2 linked regions of the Saccharomyces cerevisiae S288C genome follow. Changing the gene in region 2 together with the main gene of any one other region gives a genetic interaction. Each region holds a gene or a part of one and is shown on either strand. Other genes may lie near its edges.

The links. Genes that interact genetically often act in the same process or in processes that back each other up.
Region 1: mutations in IAI11 (region 2) and SNQ2 together harm fitness more than expected from each alone (negative genetic interaction), as found in Saccharomyces cerevisiae (one large-scale study listed by BioGRID).

Annotation. Positions count from the first base shown.
Region 1 is NC_001136.10:461,778-471,383, reverse strand, and holds SNQ2 (ATP-binding cassette transporter SNQ2), read right to left. Parts: upstream 5,466-9,606; coding exon 960-5,465; downstream 1-959. Other genes in the region: YDR010C (uncharacterized protein), read left to right, coding at 6,001-6,333; transcriptional regulator GAL3, read right to left, coding at 6,388-7,950; phosphoribosylanthranilate isomerase TRP1, read right to left, coding at 8,868-9,542. UniProt on the Saccharomyces cerevisiae protein: Could be an ATP-dependent permease. Confers hyper-resistance to the mutagens 4-nitroquinoline-N-oxide (4-NQO) and triaziquone, as well as to the chemicals sulphomethuron methyl phenanthroline when present in multiple copies.
Region 2 is NC_001134.8:106,420-113,616, reverse strand, and holds IAI11 (Iai11p), read right to left. Parts: upstream 3,024-7,197; coding exon 2,738-3,023; intron 2,669-2,737; coding exon 2,373-2,668; downstream 1-2,372. Other genes in the region: PTH2 (aminoacyl-tRNA hydrolase), read left to right, coding at 190-816; protein phosphatase regulator SHP1, read right to left, coding at 909-2,180; CMC2 (Cmc2p), read left to right, coding at 3,078-3,111, 3,197-3,492; Arf family guanine nucleotide exchange factor YEL1, read right to left, coding at 3,622-5,685; SKT5 (Skt5p), read left to right, coding at 6,211-7,197.

The DNA of each region.
Region 1 (9,606 bases), on a different chromosome or scaffold from region 2:
TTTCATAAAACAGAAAATTTTTATCACTCTTTTCAACCAAGCTGTCGAATGAACTATGCAGAAAAAAAGAATAATAAAAAATTACAATTTGGTAATTGGGAGAGGTCGCTGCATGCACTTCTTAAGACAAAAATAAGTTTACTCATTTTCTAAGTTGGTCAGCTGTAATCTATCGTGGTCATTTCTTGTTCTCACTTCTTTCGAATATTATTTCTGAAAAATACTGCTGCAATATAGTATATGTTGTTCAATCACAAAGCTCCAGGGTATGACTTGCCACAATAGTGATTTGCAAATATAAGCAGACATTAGTGGGCAAGTTAACCGTTTAGCAACACTATTGTTTCTACTGGATGTCTTTCCTTTGAGTAATATAGAATGACCTTCCTAAATAGAATAAGACACAGAAACTGTGGTATGGAGGCTGTTGTTTTCCTGTGTCCAATTTTTTTATTTTCTTTTGTCTAAAGAAGGGACAGGACAGGTAAGGGTTGACAGGCCAGATAATTTACCAAGTTTTGTTAATCATATGAAAGGGATATAAAAATGAAACAAAATAGAAAAAATGTAGAAACACTAAATTTGAAGTTCAATTTTGGTGACCAGTTTGAGGAGCCTCAGTTTTTTTGTCTTATTCTTTTCGTTTAGCTTGTACTTGCAACACCTTGCTTAGATCGTAATCCAATATTTTGAGTCGAAACCCAAGGGTAAAATAAACTTTTTTACTCAACAAGACTTGACTTTTGAAAACTACGAGAGTTATACACAATGTAACTATTAACATGGTAATACAAGACTTTTTTTTTGTATCTATTATAAACTATACTTATTGTTAATTATATGAATGTCAGTATAAAAGTGAAACGAGATGTACTCGTGTCTTCTTCTATAGTGTAAAATGAGAATTAAGAATTAAAGGCAGATGAATGCACAAAATGTTAAGTTATCTGAAGCCCACATTACTGCTTCTTTTTCCTTATGTTTTTAATTTTATTGAGTATAGATACGGGGCTTAGGAAGGAAGATTGTCTTACATGGAAGAGGTAATACACACAAACCATAGCAATGATATTGAAGAAAATGTAAATCCAAAATATTCCAAAATTTCTCCACAAGTAGCTATACTTAGAGCTGATATGTGTCAAATAATTATCTCCAACTTCGTAAATACAGTATGCACAATCTGACGTAGCATCAGGATTTTCGATGTAACCAGTAGCTTTTTCCAAAAAGGGTTTCATGTACTCTCCACACGTTGAGCCGTTTGGTGGGTTGAAGTAGTTTAGTTCTTTCTTTTTGCATACGACTGGTTTTTTGTGCAGCATAATTCCGACCAGATTCTGAACAAAATATGTGTATGGGGAAGCCTTCCACATGAATGTCCAGAAGCCAGGCATCAATGAGACAGGTTGTGTAACACCACAGAAAGAAAGCATAAATGACAGACACAAACCTAAGATAACATTAGCGGATGGAAGGTTCGGTGACATATATAGGATCATTAAGCCAAGACCAACATAGTATAACTGGAACATAATGCAGTAATTCAAAAAGTACACCGCAGATCTTGACGCTTCGAAGAAGATTCTTAATGGAAAATACGATGAGACAAAGAAAATTGTCGAAAAAAATAAATGATAGGGAAGTTCGCTCAAGTACTGAGTGATCAACACCAGCGACCAGTGAAACATGTTAGATTGGGATTCCCTAACTTCAAAAAGTTCTCTGGAGGCAATAGCACGTCCTTGGATTTGGTTCATTGCAGGAGCAGACAAGATAATAGAGATAAATGCCGCGAACATCGCATTTTGTAAGCCGACATAACTTTTACCAACATTGAAAAATGTGAAACCAATATACAGACCACCAACCAGCATTAGCATCATCTTTGACATGATGTAATTCAGACTTCTCCAAAATGAAGTAGAGGTTCTGATTAAAACATATCTGAACTGGTAAGCATAAGAAGTAGCATATTTGGAAGGTTTGTCTCCAACTTCGGATTTAGTTTCTTGTTTCGATAAATCATTTATTAAATCCTGTACTTTTTCTTTTGTTTGTTCAAACTCGACAGAGTTCAACCATTTTTCGTGCCAGTCTTCTTTGACGGATGCTGTGGCACCGGCACCAATAGCCTCTAAAATATATTCAGCAGGATTTTCACTAGAATCACATTTTCTTGCCCCATTCCTTTCAAAGTAGTTCAAAATGGTGGCAGAGTTCTTACCAATATCTCCGAAATAAACAGTTTGTCCACCCTTCCTCAAAAGTAGTAATCTATCAAACTCTTCGAACAGAGTAGCTGAAGGTTGATGGATCGTACAAAGAATGGATTGGCCAGCTTTTGATAACTTTCTTAATAATTGAATAATGGCCCATGAAGATTGAGAATCCAAACCTGATGTAGGTTCATCGAGGAATAATAATAAGTCTGGTTTGGCGACTAGTTCAACACCAATAGACAGCTTCTTTCTCTGTTCAACGTTTAAACCACAACCAACCTCACCAACAAGGGCTTCCGCATACTCTTCCATTCCCAAAACTCTGATGATTTTTTCCACATAATCCATTTTTTCAGAATCAGGCAAATGCTGAGGGCGACGCATACGAGCAGAAAACTGCAACGATTCCCTAACAGTTAACTCTGCGATATGTATATCCTGTTGTTGTACATAACCTGTACGCCTTTCGAAACTCGCATCAATGGGACGTCCATTGACAAGCATATCACCAGTAATGATACCGACATTTCTTTGAGCAAGAGTATTTAACAAAGTTGTTTTACCAGCACCTGACTCTCCCATCAAGGCCGTCATGGTACCTGGAATACAATAACCTGAAACATTATCCAAAAGCATTCTCTTACCGCCTTCATATGGAATAGTAAAGCATACGTCCTTCCAAATGAAAACACCTTTGGCTTCTAAATCATCAAATACTTCATCATTTGCGCCGCTACTTTCACTGGAGAATTGCTCTTTGGCATCTATATCATTGACATTGTCTGGAGATTCTTCATCTGCATGTGCGATAAATCTTTTTGATCCTTTCTTGAAGATAAGAGCATCACCACCACCTTTCACAGGCCTCTTATATTCTGTGAATATCACTTTCAAAACAACATAACCCAGTAAAAAGCACCACAAGATACCAAAGTTTCTCCACGTGTGCTTATAAACGTACTGAAATTGATTTTTAAGGTAGTCATCACCAAGCACATAAGACTGACCTGGTTTCGAACCAACAAAAGCACATACTTTGTAGTCATCGGATAAATTATCATAGTCTCCTCCACTGGGTACTAGAGTGTTAGCACAATCCATATGCCTACCGTGAAATTCGGCATTTAACATCGACTCGAAGGCGTACCTGATAGGTAGTACGTACGATATCCATTTAAACCATGGATGCATCGAAGGCAATTGGATCATATAGGTAGAGTACATTGAGATAGACATCATCAGAATACCCGAGATAGAGTTAGCTTGAGAAAGAGTGTCACATACTGAAGAAACCATCTCAAATAAACCATTGATCGCCTCTGAACACATGGTTAAGAACAAATAGATGGTAAAAAATGATCCCGCTGTTCTGTGCAACCCAGATAGGAAGAATAAAATGATAAAGAAACAGGTCAAACCAATCATTCTGAAGGGGAAAGATGCCAGAGTGGAGCCAATTGCCTCAGCTGAAGGATGATACAAAGAATAGCCCTTGTGCTTTTGTAAGATTGGCCTATGTTCAAAAGAAATATTCGCCAGTCCCATCAAAGAATAATATAGTAGCGCAAAATACAACACACCACCTCTTGAAAAAGCACCGGAAGTGGATGAAGGGGTATTGTAAAATAATGATCCAGTAATAAAAGATTGAATTATTGCAGAGCAGACATTGATGACTGTATAACTCTTGTTACCGTAAATTCTTTGGAACCCACGTTGGGTACACAGTTTAACTTGTTCCCAATATGACACTGTATAATAAGACTTCTTTCTCGTATATTTGGATTTCTCTTGAGCCATCGATTCGTCATAAACTTCTTTAGTCTTTTCGGTATTGACCTTCTCTTTATAAGCAGCGATATCTTTTTTCATTTGAGCAAACTCTGGAGAATTTAACCAATATGTTTCGAATTCCTCAGCGGTTCTTGGTACTTTATTTTCATAACCTGGCTTGATCAGATGGAATCCATTTGGATCAGTCAACGCGGTTAAAAATTCAGCTGTTGCTTGCCTTGGAGGACACAAATAACCCATTTTTGCGAAATAAGGTTTTGCCTCGTGGATCAAACCAAAATAAATTTGCTTACCAGAATAAAGGACAGTGACTTTATCAAATGTTTCGTAAATGTTTTCACTTGCCTGATAAATTGTAACAAAAGCGGTTGATTTCAATAAGTTTGTCATAATACGGATGGCTTTTGCGTATTCTAAGGCCGTAGACGCATCCAAACCTCTAGTGGCATTATCCCAACAGTAAATGGAACCTTTGGCTGCCAAAGCCTCGGCAATGGAAACACGCTTACGTTCACCACCAGATACACCTCTAACGAAATCGTTACCAACTTTGGTATTATAGGTATGCCTTAGACCGAAAATGGTTGCATATAAATCTCTTCTGGATGCAATGTATTCCTTTTTGGAAACGTTATTGACTCTGAGAGCAGGCGTTTTGCAGGCAATAGCGAAATCCAAAGTTTGCTTAACTGTTAAATAAGGGAAATGAACATCCAACTCACCATTGTAAATAACATCTGCTTTATATCGTTTCATCATTTCTTCTTGGGGAATACCATCATATGCTACTTCACCGGAAACACCACCGGCAAACTGATCTATTTCACCAGCTGTTACTTTTAAAAAGGAGGAACAACCAGCACCAGGCCTTCCAAGAACCAAAATCATTTCACCCGCTTCTGCCAGGGCATTGACATTGCTTATGATCTGTCTCATCTTTTGATGCCTCTTAGCCTTAATACCTTTAAAGATGGTCAACGGTAAACAAAGAATGTTACCAAAGGTAGCACCTTCTAGGGCACTCGCATCCACACCTTTAGCGCTTACGTCCTCTATGGTAACACCAGCCTTGCGGATATGGATGCCTTGCTCATCAGCGTCTCTTACAAAACTTTCAAAGATGGCATGGGCATCGAACCCATCGTCACTATCTGAATCCATATTAAAGGCACCGCTTCTCGTTGTATGACGGGATAGTGCATCTGCAAATGACTCCACTTTAGATACGACATCTGGCGCCATTTCAGACACAGTGGCACTAATCTGGCTCGCAGTGTCTCTTGCAGGTCCTGTCAGCATTTTTGTTAGTTTATCCGCCGGGGTATCGCTCTGCTCATCTTTGTCATGGGTTATGCCCGTAAATGATTCTTCTGAAGCTGCAAAAGAAGCGCTTGAGCTTCTAGCGACAGCATTATGAGAGCTATCTTGCGTGCTTTTGATATTGCTCATTGAATTCTCTTTACGTATTTTGGTAGCTGTGTTATTCTATCCACTTTTTTACTGCTTTCGGTCTTCGATATAGTTTTTCTTTTTTTATGTCTCTGCGGGTACGTCCGCTATACCTTCGTTTTCTCAGGGAGCTTGAACTCTAATCAATGGAAGGAGAAAATAATCAATGTTGAAGACGATGGATGCACTGAGAATGTAATGCACTGGTGATATAGTAACTCCTATATCCTACAGTGAGCTTTTTTTTTTTTGACCTCGCAACACTTCAACTTGAAAAACAAAAGATACAAATACACTAGGTTCGTATATATTGTTTTCGTTAGGTATTTATTTATCTACAAGCATATACAAGCATAAAAAGTGGTGAGGCGATAGCGGTGAGGGAGGGGCACTACTCATCATTTGTTTTATATGTTGATGTTGCGTAGTCACTATTAGTAATACCAATACCCAGCGGGGTTGCAGGGAATACAATGGAAAGACCTAAAGAAAATAGAAAACGGATTTAAACGGAAATGGGCGGACATTTAGTCATATGTGCGCGGAACCAGACGACTGGGAAAGGATCGAAAGGCATCCGCGGAAACTTAAAATAGCTCCGCGGATGCTAGATTTCTACGAGTCATACATAGTCTGGCGTGAAGGTAATTTTTTTTTATGTCTCCGTTCTTTTCCAAATGGGGTGATCCGTGGAGGGCGGTGCTTCTTTCGCGCCACTTCCTTGCCGTGGAAAAATGTGTACGGTTACCATGGTCACATAACCTCTGTGTGCGGAGCCACTCTGACTCGCATCAACCGGGCTATGGTTGCATCGGATGCTGGAATGGGTTCTATTGGACTCACCAACTTGTTTCTTTATAGAGTGTAAGAGGTATGAGTAAACTTTTAATATTTAAAGGTTGTTCCAAGAAGGTGTTTAGTGTTATTGTTCGTACAAACAAGTACCCAAGGCAGGCTTCGAAACTATAATTGCGTCTTTTAGTTCTTCATCTGTGAGATCCGGATATCTTACATTGTAGAATTTTTCGATTAGTGCTTTTCGTACCTGTTCCACGTTCCCATTAGCGCCACTAGGAACAAGGTGGATAGTGCAACCGCCCCAACCAGCGCCAGTGAGACGGGAGCCGAAAGAACCATTTGCTAGGGCAATCGAGCATATTTGATTGGTTTCTATGCACGAACATTCATAAAGTTTATCACAAGAGGCCTGGGACTCATTCATTAGTCGGCCAAAATCTGTAAAGAAATCTTCGTCCGTGTGAAAAGTGGCACTTGTCATCATTTTTAAAGCCTTAAGCACCCTTAAGGATTCGGAGTAAACGTGTTTAGCTCTTTGATATAGTTTCAAGACTTGGAAGCGGACGGGAAAAGTTGTCAGGTAATCTCTAGTGAACTCCTCACGTGAACAGTTTAGCGCCGTAGAGGCTTCATGTACAGTGAATCCGCTCTTTTTCCTCGAGAAAGATTCTTCTACCAATTGTAGCATCTTGAGTAAACGTTCAATACCAGTTCCGATATCTCCATTCCATGGTTGGGCTTGGTTTTCGTATCTGGCGTAGTAAGCATCCATAAAATCTCTTAGATTCCCTCTTTCTGAGTTAGAATTGTCCTTGTGAGATGGTAAGGCCACGCTGTATCTGGTCGCCAAGGCGTTGGCAGCAACTGTTACCTCTATTACTCTTAAATTGTAATTTGTAGGAGCAGTTTCGAATTTATTAGACTTTACAAGAGTATTGGCGATGACGAAACTGATTTCATGATTTTTCAATTGAGGAAACTTGAAAGGTGTGGCCTTTAGTTTTGGCCTAAACTCTACGTATAGAGCATGATCTTCTTCCCCATAAACAGACGTTGCTTGATCCATACCACCATTATTGACTCCAACATAGTGCTCAGCAACCGCTGTGATGCGGGTCAAGTCTTTTTTGGAAATATCAAAATTTTTTCCCATATTGGCTCTAATTGTGGCTAGTGCTGCCGCGCAAGTAAATGCAGATGAGAGTCCACCACCAGTAGGAATATCGCTCTGGCAAAAGATCTGCGCACCTACTAAGGGTGTATTATTAAATCTTTCCGGAGCAATTTTTTTCAAGTATGAATGTGCCACATGTAGTCCGCATTTAAAGTAATTCGACCATTCCGACACAGACGGATCTATGGCCATGTAGGAACCATCTAAAGGCAGATCAAACTTTCGCTGAGCAAATTTAGGGTCCGCATTTGTTAAGGTAATGGATGGATTTTTTTCGTCTAAAATTTTAACTGCGCAAAGCATATCCACATCAATGGCTAATGGCAAAACTGAAAAATCGCAATAATCTATATGCTCACCAATCAGATTTACTCTGCCAGGAGACCTAGCGATAAAATCAGGTTTGACATGGTATGTTTGGAAAAATGCATCTACAACCGCTAAATGTTTTTGTTCGAAAGACCTTGGTAAATCTCTGACCGGAGAACTGAATATTGGAACGTTTGTATTCATACTATGTGTTGCCCTACCTTTTTACTTTTATTTTCTCTTTTTGCACTCCTGATTCCGCTAATAGGAAGTATGAATACCTGGGGTTGTCAATGTGGTAACAAAGGTGTTGCCTCACTTGTCGCTTATGATGATTATATACGTTTCAGTAAAAATTTTACTGCCTATGTGTTGCAGGCGGTCAATCAATTGCATAAAAGACCGTGTGATGGCTTGGCATGGCGATTTCATTCTTTCAAGAATTCCACATGTTAAAATAGTGAAGGAGCATGTTCGGCACACAGTGGACCGAACGTGGGGTAAGTGCACTAGGGTCCGGTTAAACGGATCTCGCATTGATGAGGCAACGCTAATTATCAACATATAGATTGTTATCTATCTGCATGAACACGAAATCTTTACTTGACGACTTGAGGCTGATGGTGTTTATGCAAAGAAACCACTGTGTTTAATATGTGTCACTGTTTGATATTACTGTCAGCGTAGAAGATAATAGTAAAAGCGGTTAATAAGTGTATTTGAGATAAGTGTGATAAAGTTTTTACAGCGAAAAGACGATAAATACAAGAAAATGATTACGAGGATACGGAGAGAGGTATGTACATGTGTATTTATATACTAAGCTGCCGGCGGTTGTTTGCAAGACCGAGAAAAGGCTAGCAAGAATCGGGTCATTGTAGCGTATGCGCCTGTGAACATTCTCTTCAACAAGTTTGATTCCATTGCGGTGAAATGGTAAAAGTCAACCCCCTGCGATGTATATTTTCCTGTACAATCAATCAAAAAGCCAAATGATTTAGCATTATCTTTACATCTTGTTATTTTACAGATTTTATGTTTAGATCTTTTATGCTTGCTTTTCAAAAGGCCTGCAGGCAAGTGCACAAACAATACTTAAATAAATACTACTCAGTAATAACCTATTTCTTAGCATTTTTGACGAAATTTGCTATTTTGTTAGAGTCTTTTACACCATTTGTCTCCACACCTCCGCTTACATCAACACCAATAACGCCATTTAATCTAAGCGCATCACCAACATTTTCTGGCGTCAGTCCACCAGCTAACATAAAATGTAAGCTTTCGGGGCTCTCTTGCCTTCCAACCCAGTCAGAAATCGAGTTCCAATCCAAAAGTTCACCTGTCCCACCTGCTTCTGAATCAAACAAGGGAATAAACGAATGAGGTTTCTGTGAAGCTGCACTGAGTAGTATGTTGCAGTCTTTTGGAAATACGAGTCTTTTAATAACTGGCAAACCGAGGAACTCTTGGTATTCTTGCCACGACTCATCTCCATGCAGTTGGACGATATCAATGCCGTAATCATTGACCAGAGCCAAAACATCCTCCTTAGGTTGATTACGAAACACGCCAACCAAGTATTTCGGAGTGCCTGAACTATTTTTATATGCTTTTACAAGACTTGAAATTTTCCTTGCAATAACCGGGTCAATTGTTCTCTTTCTATTGGGCACACATATAATACCCAGCAAGTCAGCATCGGAATCTAGAGCACATTCTGCGGCCTCTGTGCTCTGCAAGCCGCAAACTTTCACCAATGGACCAGAACTACCTGTGAAATTAATAACAGACATACTCCAAGCTGCCTTTGTGTGCTTAATCACGTATACTCACGTGCTCAATAGTCACCAATGCCCT
Region 2 (7,197 bases):
TTACTCCTTTGAGTTTATTCTCTTGAGGGACAACCCATGTTGTTTTTTCTTCAACTCGCTGATATCACGCCTGACGAAAATAATGTTTAAAGGTTATTACTACTCTTCTAGAAGCTCTTAAGCATAAGAGCTAATTGTTTCTTGCTATATTACTTGTTGACAGCGGAGTAACATGATAACGTCTTTTTAATGGAAAAGATGACAGTTTCTTCGAATTACACCATAGCTTTATGGGCTACTTTCACCGCAATCTCCTTTGCCGTGGGTTACCAGTTGGGTACGTCGAACGCATCATCAACTAAGAAATCCTCAGCTACTTTACTGCGTTCTAAAGAAATGAAGGAAGGAAAGCTACACAATGACACTGATGAGGAGGAAAGTGAAAGCGAAGATGAGAGCGATGAGGACGAAGATATTGAGTCCACTTCATTGAATGATATACCTGGAGAAGTTAGGATGGCATTGGTGATTCGTCAAGATCTTGGCATGACAAAGGGCAAAATAGCGGCACAATGCTGTCACGCAGCATTGTCATGTTTTAGACATATTGCTACAAACCCCGCGCGTGCTTCATACAACCCAATTATGACACAAAGATGGCTAAATGCTGGACAGGCTAAAATAACGTTGAAATGTCCAGATAAGTTTACAATGGACGAGTTGTATGCGAAGGCTATATCACTTGGGGTGAATGCAGCAGTTATTCATGATGCTGGTAGAACACAGATTGCTGCGGGAAGTGCCACCGTATTGGGTTTAGGACCTGCTCCAAAAGCAGTATTGGATCAAATAACAGGTGATTTGAAATTGTATTGAGGTACAAATGATATATACTACGGGTATAGATATACGTGCATTTATATATTAAGTTGAAGTCTTTTCCCGTTTCTGTTTTTGTATATTTATGCTCATGCCCATCTTTGCACGACAACGGAGTTCAGCAGATCAGCGTCCTTCAATGTTGTCTCATCGTTGCTTATTGGTTTGATAGGAAAGGCATAATTCAAGGTGAAATTCCTCGATGGGTCAGTGTTCGCATTTGATGTCACATGCTCATACAAAAACTTTACTGTATCTGTGGAATTGCAGTGCAAAACTTCTCTTTTGCCATTTGCGTATCTAATTTGGATGGAGGTGTCGCCTTGTTTTGGCTCATTGTCCGGCATGGGTTGTTCCTGAGCAGCGGGTGTCTCATTCTTTGGAACCTCCGCAGGTGACGATTCACCCGGGATAGGAGATCCTAGTCTTTGGCCCTGGCCTGAAAAACCGCCCAGTTTTCTCGTCGGAGCTTTATAAGACTCATCTAATTTTTTATATACATTAACTTCAACTTCTTGTCCAAATTGCACATCTAAGAGCTTTAATGGAGCCCTCCCTTGATTTAACTCGCTCAAATAGAAACTGTTCGCAGGATCATCATAGCGATAAAGCGGACCATCGGCCACTTGAAAACCTTCCTTCCAAAATGTAATTTCTCTTGTGACTTTTTCTGGTCTACGTTGTGATTGTGAAGTGTTGTCTTCTACGACTTCATCTGCTGCGTCGATGGTTGACCCTAATCTAAAACCTCTTCCAGTAAACCTATTGGCACCCATTTCATGGTCTTCGTCATCACGGAATCCGTTTTCAGCGCCCATTTGACCACCCCTTCTCGCTTTTTCCAGCAAATCCTTCAGTAATGAATTAGGATCTGAAGGATCTGTAACCTCTAAGCCGGATGTTTCACCACCAGCAAAAGTATTTCTCGGTTGATCTTCATCGTCATCATCAGCTTGACCTCTTACCATATCCGAAAAGCTCATAAACCTGGAGTTGTTACCACTTCCAGAGCGGCTACTACCCTTGGTTGGTTCAGGAGAGGTAGAACCTTTCCTTTTCAAGTACTCGTTGCTACCTTGTGAGGATCCTGGTTTTGGACATAACCCACCAACGTGCTCCGTATTTATGGCTTTATTCGAAGAGTTGGTGGAGAAGGCTTCTTGCTTGAGGGCCTTCTCCTGCTGTCTGTTCCAATGTGCTTCCTCTCTTCTATCCTTTTGGTCATCCGTTTGAGAAGCATAATAGGAATTTAGTGCTTCATTTAAATCTCCAAATTCAGAGAGATATTGAACGGCTATGTTATGCGACACATTGGTCAATGCCATGAACTGCTGGATGGTTTCATCAGGTATTTCCGCCATACCTAAATAATGAGTTAATTGTTGTGCTACCGACGTTTCTTATATATTTAAATCGAAATATGTTAAGCATACAACTATTAAACCCCTTCCGTTCTTTATTGCCATCGATTTTCGCCACCAATAAGAGTTCTAATGCGGGTAACACATATAAGTAGTGGAATATATTATTGAAACTACTACTATGGTATAACACTATTTACAAAGAGATGAATTGTGTGTCTTAACTAAGCTGTCCACTACTTGCTGGCTTCTTTTATCCAGAGGCATGTTTGTCACTACAAATTCGTTGTTGGCACGCCTTTCCAGACGTTGCTTTAGTTCCTGAAATGATGAAACATCCCAGCTCCAACATGTCCCTGTGATGCCCATACCAAATATACCTAGTGTCATGCCCGTTGCCGCTAAAAGAGAACCTGCAAGACTCTTTTGTGTGTGTGTTATTGTCTGCGTCCGGCTGGCGTAGTTTGCTTGAAAAGTGTTCAATGGCACTATGTAAATAAGTTATGTTAGTAAACGTGTTCTTTGAGTATGAGGCCGAAGTTATTGCCTATGCATACCTTTTGCAGTTATCATTTTCTTCATGGCAATTCTACATGTTATAAGTGTAAAAATAGTGATTCCGAAGAATCGTGTCATCTGAGTTTTCCTCCTCTTTTTATAGTCGTCTATAAAATGTGTGACTTCCTCACTACTGATTTTGGGCTTGTCGTTTCTGCTCACTAACATTATTGTTGGCCAGTCCTTTATTTCGAATTTTCTTCTTGTGTTTACATTATGTTTCAATTCGCATATTACATTAATAGAGAAAGACCTATTAAAAAATCGCTGCGCGTCCAATAACATTCACTGATTTACAAGTGCAGTTGAACAAAAGCAAGATAAGACAAGTACTACAACATGCATCCACAGTTAGAAGCTGAACGTTTTCATTGTAAGTATCCAGATTTTACTTCATATATTTGCCTTTTTCTGTGCTCCGACTTACTAACATTGTATTCTCCCCTTCTTCATTTTAGCCTGTTTGGACTTCATCAATGCACTCGATAAATGCCATCAAAAGGAATATTACAAGAGAATATTTGGCCTTTGTAACAACGAAAAGGATGCTTTGAACAAGTGTCTCAAGGAGGCAAGTTTGAATAACAAGAAACGTGCTGTCATTGAAAGTAGAATAAAGAGAGCTGATGTAGAAAAGAGATGGAAGAAAATTGAGGAAGAAGAATATGGCGAGGACGCTATATTAAAGACTATCTTAGATAGACAGTACGCCAAGAAAAAGCAGGAAAGTGACAATGATGCGAACTCGAAATAAAAGCTTTTTTTCTGTCGCTACTTCATTCACACAAATCATCTCAATATCCCTTGTAAATAAAAGGCAGAGTACAGTTTTCAAGTTTATATTTCTTCAGCGCAGTCTTTATATTTATATCTTTAAATATACTTAGAACTGAACAGAACCCATGGCTTTTTGCAAAGCTTTCAAGTAGCTCAGTCGTTTCTTATATTGATTATTCATATACAAATATCTCGAATTCCAATTATTCATGACTGCTTCAAAATAGTTATCGTCAAAGCTCCAAATTTCGACCAGCTTATCCTTTATTTCGTTATGTTTATCTATCCATATACCAAGCTGTCTGGTGAAGTTCATCAATTCCTTTAGCCTTTCTTTTAGTTCGACCATCTCTACATCTTTCGCATCTTCGTATAGTAGCTCTAGCCCCAATAGTGGCTTCCATTCACTTACAACAATATTTTTAAGATTGAGGGAAGCGTGCTCTGTCAAGATCTTGTCACTCCATCCATATTCTGCGTTAGATACGGCTTCGAATTGTGTTAAAGGAACTGGAGAAATCCTACCTGCCCAGAAGTTGATACAGTCCATAAACTTGTGGGCTTCTTCAACACTTCTCGTCTGGAACTCCAGAACAAGCTTTGGTCCGTTGATATTCTCTGGAAAACTAACGGTAAAGTTGCCACTTTTCCTCTTGGTGTTTTTGTTACACACATTTGATTTCATTGCTCCACTACCTATAATTATATTATCTTGCACGACATGTGCTTCAGCTTCAAGCAGTGAGTAAGCAAAATAAGAGCTACTGATATCTTTGAAATAGTCGATGGTAGCACTGTCTGTTTCACTTGATTGGATGATATCCTTAACATCTGGTTTAATTTTGAAAATAAAAATTCTGCCCTCCTTGACCTGTATTTTCACCCTCTCCCATTCAGAATCCTTATTCAAATACGATAAAGAAGTCCTTCTAGATGTGTGCTCAATAAGTGTAGTCGTTTTAGATGGTTTTAGCCATCCGAAGAACGATTTGTTTCTCTTAGAGGTCATTTTTGGTGCCGCCACTTGATCTTTGTCTCTTTTAGAATATTTACGTGGTAAAGATTTCTTGCTTATAAGAATTAAATCGTCCATGAACCAACTGGAGCCGTTTTCGGTAATTAAACCGTCATCAAAAGACTCTTTAAGGTAGAGTGCATCCATGGGGTGATTATTGTGAAAGTTTTTATTTGATTTTGCGCTCATTTCTCGTACAGATACTTGACCATCTCTTGAATATAGTGTAGTAGAATTAGAGTTAACACTACGTAAATTTGATGTACTAAATTCCCGTGATCCTAGAGTAGAGAACCTTTTCAAGGAAGATTGGTTATCTGATATATTTATTGATGTTCTAGATTCTGTGCATAACGGTAAAGGCGTTTCATTTAACGTTTTATAGTATTCGGAAAGTTCTTCGATGATCAAATGTTCGCGGGAGTATATTTTCAATTCTTCGTATTCATTTTCCTCTCTTAGTGCCCTCAGTGTATTGTTGATAAATGCAACCATGGAAAACTTAATCTTTTTATGGTCAACTTGAAAGTTGTTGTGCAAATCCGAATTAAGGATCAACAGGGAAAATAAGACTATATGACATGACTTATAGCCTGACTTCCAATGTGTGTTCGGGTGGCAAGCTATCCATTCTATGCTCAAGCACTCTAGTATCCGGTCGATATTTTGCGCTTCTGCAATGAAATATATACTTTTCGATAAATTGAAAAGCGTTTCTAATAGTGACGACGGCAAAGGACTCAATAACTTTACAAACTCAGTCAAGACTTGATTATTGTTATCGTTTCCCAAGAAATTTGCATATTCCTTGTAAGATACATCTTTGAAAGTGCCTTCCAAGATCTCTGAGGCAATAAGATGACTATTCTGATCAGTTTCCTCGGATTGAGTGGAGCTAATATCTTCAGTACCAGTCCCCGCAGTGGCGGTATCCGTAGTAGGTATCACAGGTTTTTCGTCATTAGCAGCTTCCTTGTTTTGTAAAATATCACACATGTTGACCATCGTGGGAGACTGTAGCATATTTTTCATGCTAGTGGGCATCGACTTACTACCATGAAGGACGCCCTCACTTTCACTGAAATTGTCATTGTAGCCCTTTTGTGAGACCCCATAGGTGTCATTCTTTTTTACCTCGTTTAAACTGGCGCACATACCTCTTTGCGATCCCTTAATAGTCCATTGACTGCACAAAATTGTACCATCTAGTCAGCCTTACTGATCTCAAAGTTGATCCGTAAGATCAATGAACCGTCTCTATCATCTATAGATATTTTGCACCCAAACATCGCATTTTAAGTTCATTTGATTTAATATAATACATTTGAACATGCCATCGCACTTAGCTGCCATGTATAGGCCATAACTAATCGCTAATTATTTGTTGCAACTATCTGCAAATCTATACGACATATGTACATATGACTTTCACGAGTCTTCATGCATGTTTTAAGAAAGGTCATCGTTATATTTTCCCACGTTTCACTTCGCGTTTTGACTTGCTAAAAAAAGAACGAAAAATTCTTTCTGCAGACCCTCTCGAGGATGATGTAAGATTTAAGAGTAGAGACAAACTAGGTGTTGGCACTTGACTTTAGACTTGCTGTTAATAAGCCTTCCATTGTATACTACCAGGTTCTCGTCTTTTTTGGTGATAAAGTTAAAATAAAAGGATAAAAAATGGCAAGTTCACCGCAGGTACATCCATATAAGAAGCATTTAATGCAATCACAGCATATAAATTTTGATAACAGGGGCCTACAGTTTCAAAACAGTTCGTTGAAGGTAGGTCAAGATTTTTCAGATAATAAAGAGAATAGGGAAAACAGGGACAATGAAGACTTCAGTACCGCAGACCTTCCTAAGCGGTCGGCAAACCAACCGCTTATCAATGAGCATCTTAGAGCTGCGTCAGTACCTCTACTATCAAACGATATAGGCAATAGTCAAGAGGAAGATTTCGTTCCAGTCCCACCCCCACAGCTTCATCTTAATAATTCAAATAATACTTCCTTAAGTTCTTTGGGAAGTACTCCTACAAATTCTCCGTCACCGGGAGCATTAAGACAGACAAATTCGAGTACATCTCTTACGAAGGAGCAAATAAAGAAAAGAACTCGTTCTGTAGATTTGTCTCACATGTACCTGTTGAATGGTAGCAGTGATACCCAATTAACGGCTACTAATGAATCTGTAGCAGATTTGTCACATCAGATGATCAGTCGATATTTGGGTGGTAAAAATAATACTTCCTTAGTTCCAAGGCTAAAAACAATAGAAATGTATAGACAAAACGTTAAAAAATCTAAAGATCCTGAAGTGTTATTCCAGTATGCGCAATATATGTTACAAACCGCACTGACTATTGAATCTTCCAATGCTCTTGTTCAAGATAGTGACAAGGAAGGAAATGTCAGCCAATCTGACTTAAAACTTCAGTTTTTGAAAGAAGCGCAAAGTTATTTGAAGAAACTGAGCATAAAGGGTTATTCAGATGCCCAATACTTATTAGCGGACGGCTACTCATCCGGAGCATTTGGGAAGATTGAAAATAAAGAAGCATTTGTCTTATTTCAAGCAGCTGCAAAGCATGGTCATATAGAAAGTGCTTACAGAGCATCGCATTGCTTAGAAGAAGGACTAGGAACAACAAGAGATTCTCGTAAG